Linked DNA regions of Sus scrofa. The protein of the gene in region 1 purifies or fractionates together with the protein of each later gene. This does not show direct contact. Links are inferred from orthologs where the notes say so. Each region holds a gene or a part of one and is shown on either strand. Other genes may lie near its edges.

Region 1 (3,500 bases):
CTGACTTGTATGTACCCTCACTTGGAATCTGGAGGCCTCCATACTTAATCTGTTTTATGAAGAGACCATTGTGACTTTAATGCTCTAGCATAACAATTTTGTGAGTGAGTTTGAATGCTGTACTGTGTTAAATATACAGTAATAACATTTTTCAATTTTTTTATTTGTTAGCAAGATGTTGATATCAGAGAGGAGATGCCAGAGCAGACAGCCAAGCGGATGTTGAGCCTTCTTGGCATCCTTAAATACAAACCTCCAGGAAGTGCCACGGACATGTAAGAATCTGTTCAAGTGTTACTTTCTTAGAGCTATGCTTTAATAACCAAAGCTTCAGAGTCAGTTTTTCTAGGTAATAACCTATTTTCCCTAAGTCATTGGCCTTAGAAAATCACTGACTTCAAAGTAATCTTGAACTTTTATTTCATCATGCAGAAGCCTTAACTGTATCACTTCTTTCTCTTAATCAAAAAAGTGAGGCAGGGAGTTCCCTGGTAGTTTAATGGGTTAAGGATACAGCATTGTCACTGCTGTGGCTTGATTCAATCCCTGGCCCTGAAACTTCCACATACCACAGGTACAACTTAAAAAAAAAAAAAAAAAAAAAAAAAAAAAAAAAAAAAAAGAGGCAAATCCACTTTTCCATTTTATCATTTATCTGCCTTCCTAAACAGAAACAATAACTTAAACATGCCCAGACAATGAAGTGAGGTATTAAGGCTGACTGTACCAGTTAATGGTTTTTAAAACAACCTTCTTGTATATTCCAGTAATTTATTAAGGGCCTAATTTTATGATTATTGTTAATGTGCAGATTTTAGAATAGCCTTGGTTTTATCTTTCTTAAATAGTTATGGAAAGCAGTCAGGAATGTGGAAACTGGATTTTGAGCAAATGTTATCTCTTTTCAAGATTTACTTACAAACCTGTGTGTGTGTATGTGTGTGTATTTTCTTTTAATAGGAGTACATTCCGTCAGGGTCTAGTGATTGGAAGTAAACCTGTAATTTACCCAGTGCTCCACTGGCTTCTTCAGAGGACTAATGAACTGAAGAAAAGAGCATATTTAGCTCGTTTTTTAATAAAACTTGAGGTACCAAGTGAGTTTCTTCAGGACGAAACTGTGGCTGATACCAATAAACAGGTATAAAATATATGTGGTATTTTTAAACTATCTGTAGTGGATTTCAGAGTACACATGTTCAGTATATGTTCATCTCTATTTGTTGTCTCTGTATTTCCAGTGACATCAAAAGGTAAAATATTTATCAGCTAATGTTTAGCTGCAATCATGTATGAAAATATTGATTTTTTGCACACAAGTACTATTAAAGTGGTAGACTATATGGAATGAAAAAAACTCCTGAAATTAGGATTTTAGAATAATTTATTACTTAAGAATTGTGGGTAGGAATTCCCTTGTGGCACAGTGATTTAAGGATCTGATATTGTTACTGCTGTGTCAAGATTTGATTGCTGGCCTGGGAATTTCTACATGCTAGGAGTGTGGCCAAAAAAAGAAGAATTGTGGGTAGGTATGATCCTAGGCTTGGAAACACAGAGCATTTTCTTGATCAGTTGGGTGACTACACAATTTGTCATCCAGATCAGAGAGCAAAGGGGTTATCATAATAATTACACCAGAGCAAAAGGTGTAAACTGACACTATCCCAGGCAAATTGGAACATGTAAACACCTTCAAAGATTGTTTGTGGGCAAAGATGCCAGGCTTATGATCTCAAAAGATATGCCAATCTAGTAGAAGGAGAGAAAGGACCAGGAATTTGCAATTTCAGTGTACCTTCACCACCAGAGTTTTGGGGTGATACTGAGTTCTGGCTTTAAGGTCCTAAAACTCTTGACTACTCAGGATTCTAGCTGACCTGGCTCCTGTAACTGAGATTTCAAAGCACATTGCTGATCAAAGACTATGGAAAGAATTTAGGCTTAAGACTTCAAAGGACTTTGATTTAAGAGAAAAGAAATTGTCTCTGTTTAGCATTTGTACTTTTATTCCATAGTAGGTTCATAGACTGATTTGTACCAGTTTGTTGTGAATAGTTTGTCAATCTATCTCTCCCAATAGATTATGAGATGTGTGAAGACAGGTATCCCGTCTTGTCTCTTTGTTTTCCTTCATGGTTTTATAGGGTTGCTTCTGTGTGATATGTACTCAAACTTTGGACTGAACTGGAACAATCAACCATATATTTTTTCATCCATGTATTTTGTTATTTTGCATAGCCATAGCTATCATTTGAAGTAGAGTCAGTACTGATCTCTTAAGACATTTCTGGGGTTGAAAAATTTATGCAAACAATTACGTCAAATGTTATAGTAGATGCCTTGAGAAAAGTACAGAAGAACGAGACCACCACAGCACTACCTTTGAAGGCTTTACATAATGTAAGAAATAGAGAGGTGTAAAAACATTTTCTCCTCCCTACCCTCCCCCCTCAGTAAATTTGATAGAAACTAATTCCTCTGGAGGAAGTTTATTAATAGTTTTTACCAGGCATGCCCAGCTAATTCTTTTTTTCTTTTTTGGCTGCATCCATGGCCTATGGAAATTCCCAGGCCAGGGATCAAATCTGAGCCAGAACTGCAACCTATGCCACAGTTGCAGCAACAGTAGATCCTTAATGCACTGTGCTGGGCCAGGGATCAAACCCTTGCCTGCACAGAGACAGGCTGGATCATTAACCCATTGTGCCACGTGGAAACACCCCAGCTAATTATTAATGGAAGGGATAATAGTAATAAAGACATGTTTGTTCTTGAAGCATATTTGAGATGTGTGTATAAAATGACTTAGACAGGAGTTCCCATTGTGGCATAGAGGAAACGAATCCGACTAAGAAACATGAGGTTGCAGGTTCGATCCCTGGCCTTGCTCAGTGGGTTAAGGATCTGGCATTGCCGTGATCTGTGGTGTAGGTTGCAGACACAGCTCAGATCTGGTGTGGCTGTGGCTATGGCATAGGCCAGCAGCTACAGCTCTGATTAGACTCCTAGCCTGGGAACCTCCATATGCCCCAGGTGCGGCCCTAAAAAGACAAAAATTAAAAATAAACATAAAAAACTAAATAATATAAAATAAAAAATAAAGTGACTTAGACACATTTAGCAGAGAGCCTAATAAAAAATGCACATTGTTTTTCTAAATGAAGAGTTTTAGAATGATTGATTTTTGTACTTGCAGAATATGACCAGTCGAGAAAGAATATTATTAATTTCCTGTCATTATCCACCAAAAATCTACTTAAAAATTTTTATATGAGTTGTGATTTTTTTCTTTTTTTTTTTTTTTTGTCTTTTGTCTTTTTGTTGTTGTTATTGTTGCTATCTCTTGGTTCTTGGGCCGCTCCCGCGGCATATGGAGGTTCCCAGGCTAGGGGTCGAATCGGAGCTGTAGCCACCGGCCTACGCCAGAGCCACAGCAACGCGGGATCCGAGCCGCGTCTGCAACCTACACCACAGCTCACGGCAATGCCAGATCCTTA
Region 2 (3,500 bases), on another chromosome or scaffold:
CATAAAAAAGAATGACATAATGCCATTTGCAGCAACATGGATGGAACTAGAGAATCTCATCCTGAGTGAAATGAGCCAGAAAGACAAAGACAAATACCATGTGATATCACTTATAACTGGAATCTAATATCCAGCACAAATGAACATCTCCACAGAAAAGAAAATCATGGACTTGGAGAAGAGACTTGTGGCTGCCTGATGGGAGGGGGAGGGAGTGGGAGGGATTGGGAGCTTGGGGTTATCAGACACAACTTAGAATAGATTTACAAGGAGATCCTGCTGAGTAGCATTGAGAACTATGTCTAGATACTCATATTGCAACAGAACAAAGGGTGGGGGAAAAATGTATACATGTAGGAATAACTTGATCTCCATGATGTACAGCGGGAAAAAATTAAAAAAAAATTTTTAAATCTTTCATCTAATACCATTTCATATTTTATAAAAAAATCTATTTTTTATTTGGAACAGAATACCATTTACAAAAAACTGCATGGAGTATTACAGATTATGTAGTCCAACCAGTATGGGAATTACATATACTATAATCAGAGTTCATGAGTACAATATAACAATATCAAGTAGGTATATCATAATTTACCTAATCATTATGGTAGCATGTTTCTTATTTTGTGTAACACTATTTTCTTTTGGCTGTTGCCATGGCATGTGGAAGTTCTGAGGACCAGGGATCAAACCTGCACCAGAGCAATGACCCAAGCCATAGCAGTGACACATGCTAGATACTTAAGCTATTGAACCACCAGGAAACTACTGCGTAACACTATTTTTTAATTGGAGAAGGGAGATAAAATTTTGCAGTAAATCCAGAGACCACTGCTGCTTACAGTACCTACAGAATTAGAAGGAAGAAAATTCTGACACTAGAAATTTTCATGGGCCAAAGATTACCTCAACGATTGAGGCAGTAATCAACACTGCCAAAGGGATTATTTCTTCTGGAAGTCCATATTAGGATCATCCTTGGTGGAACAATATTTATGTTAGATACTCTACTCTGACAGAAGACAAACACTGTATTTTGGTTTGTTATTTTTTTAGCTGTGCTTGTGGCATATAGAAGTTTCTGAGCCAGGGAATGAACCCACGTCACAGCAGCGACCTGGGCCACTACAGTGACAACACCACATTACTTAACCTGCTGCACCACAGGGGAACTCCCACAAACACTGTATTATGAATGAAACATATGGATGAAGGTAAGTAATTACATTTCTAAAATTTCATGAGGACAACATTGCATAGGGAGAAAAATATTTGGAAAACGATCACATTGCTAGTACCTGATAAATTTTATCCACTTTAAAAATTATTACTTTAACACTGTTATGGGGAAAAAAAAGTCTGTGTGTCTCTGTATTTTTAATATAATGTATTTTTTTTAAAAAATGGAAGAATACATATCAATCTATTAAGACAAATTATTTCCGGGGAGGAAGTGAGGGAGAAAGCAAAGGGGCACTGCATATGGTTTCAACCTTTCTCAATAAGTATGTACTCATGTATTATTTGCTACTTAAAATCACATTTTTAAAGTAAAAAGCAATGAAAATATTTGAAAGAAATTCACTCAGAAAAGACTAAATACCATGTTGTAGTCTGCTAGTTGTCCTTGAAACTCTTTGATTTCAACAGCTAAAGTCTCAGCTCTGCAAACATAAAATATATACATGCATAAACACATGAAAGCAGATGAATGTTATTAATATTACGTATAACTAAAAATTTAGTATTAAACTCCTGAAACATATTACATTAAATGTTACTAATAATAAGAAAATACCTTGCATATTTTAACTGCAAAATTACTTACCTCTTTTCATATGACAAATATACTGAATTCTCTTGATTGTACATTTCTATTTCTTTTTGAAGTTTATTAATTTCTGTTGTAAGTTCACTTATTTTACTTCTAAGCGAAAAGAAATTAAAAAGTCAGCAAGACTTCCAATCCAGAAAAGTCTTTCTAGTCAAACAAAACAAACTTTTCATAAATGTACAATAATAAAAATGGTTTTGTAAAATTTCACTAAAAAAACAATTTAAGTTGCTTATTTGATTAAGGAGGAGGTACAAGATATATCCCAAATGATAAACTGATACAGATTCTCTACTCACTAAAAAAAGATGAAATAGTACCAGAATGGAAACCTGGTCAATCTGGTATAATCTACAGACAGAAGTAGATGCCTAATTGTCACCCTCACAGCTCTTGCTATCCTCTAGAACAAGGTTTCTCAAGTGTAGCACATTTAGTTAGGTCTTTGAATGATACTTTGGTGGGAAGTGGTAGGGTATACTGTGCACCACATGATGTTTAACAGGATCCCTGGTCTGGATGCCAGCAACATAGCCCCCAGTCCCAGTTATGACAACCAAAAATGTGTCTAAAAATTGCCAAATGTTCTTTGGGGGCCAAAATCGCTGCCAGTTGAGAACCAGTTCTAGAGTCAATTACACAAGTAGGTAAAACTATTTTTTAATACAGAAGCACAAATCCTGGAGAAGAGAGGCAACGAAATAATGAGAAATAGCCCTATCTCCCTTCCTTCTTTTAATTAAAAAGTGGCTGGATATTAAAAGACGTTATTCAACTGATGGTCTCACTATCTTTGTTACTGCTGTTAGCTTTGAGGACAGATGGGGAAAGCCTACCTTCTTTTATTGCCTTCTAGGAGTTTGAGAATCAAAAGGATTCAAGTAATTGAGCAACAAAAGAACTTAGAAGAAAACAGAGTTTGCAGGACACAATAGAAGGATGCATTAAATGGAATGCAAGTAAGAAAGAAAGCAGATATAGAGAATGGGTGAACAAGAAAATAAACTGGAAAAATGGAAATAAGACAGTAGGGTATATGAGAAAAGAAAAAGGTAGGTAGAAAAAAAGAAAAAAATCTTAATTTAGAGCTGCATACTTAGAGATGTATAACAAAGCTTATAAATGAAAACTATACCATATTTATAGCAACTGACAATGTATATTTATGTAAAACTGTACTATTTATTATAAAGTATATAGATTTTCCCATTCTTATTAGATGTATGATTAATATATTTCAGCTTAGTGAAAGAAGCATAAAAGATTATTCTTATTATTACATAAAAACAGTGAATCTAAATACATAGTTCATATACATTCAAATACATAAAATTTTAAATTTCAGCCCAATTGATTTATCATATTTTGTGATATTATCTATTTACAGCCAAATTAACCAGCAATCATGTTAGAATACAAAATAATTCTTAGAAATCAATAGACACCTAGTTATCTTAATAAGCCGTAGATAAAACTTCATGATCATGCATAGAAAAAAAGAGTATTTAACATACCGAAGAAGCCCAAGATAATAAGATTTGTCTAAAATTTGCCTCTGGGGACCTAAAAAAAAATTTTTAAGTATTAGTGTTCACTTTGAAAATGCCACCAAAATACCAAAGCTCAACCAGAACTATATGCTGTAATTCTCTGATAGCCT

What was found.
Region 2: the proteins of IFT81 (region 1) and IFT74 purify together in Homo sapiens (affinity purification with mass spectrometry; 3 studies listed by BioGRID and IntAct, counting the BioPlex papers as one, with this or other methods). This does not show direct contact. The link is inferred for Sus scrofa from reciprocal best matches to the Homo sapiens genes IFT81 and IFT74.

Annotation. Positions count from the first base shown.
Region 1 is NC_010456.5:31,523,048-31,526,547, forward strand, and holds part of IFT81 (intraflagellar transport protein 81 homolog), read left to right. Parts: intron 1-171; coding exon 172-275; intron 276-960; coding exon 961-1,141; intron 1,142-3,500. UniProt on the Homo sapiens protein: Component of the intraflagellar transport (IFT) complex B: together with IFT74, forms a tubulin-binding module that specifically mediates transport of tubulin within the cilium. Binds tubulin via its CH (calponin-homology)-like region.
Region 2 is NC_010443.5:196,156,880-196,160,379, forward strand, and holds part of IFT74 (intraflagellar transport protein 74 homolog), read right to left. Parts: intron 3,404-3,500; coding exon 3,355-3,403; intron 1,934-3,354; coding exon 1,835-1,933; intron 1,671-1,834; coding exon 1,610-1,670; intron 1-1,609. UniProt on the Homo sapiens protein: Component of the intraflagellar transport (IFT) complex B: together with IFT81, forms a tubulin-binding module that specifically mediates transport of tubulin within the cilium. Binds beta-tubulin via its basic region. Required for ciliogenesis.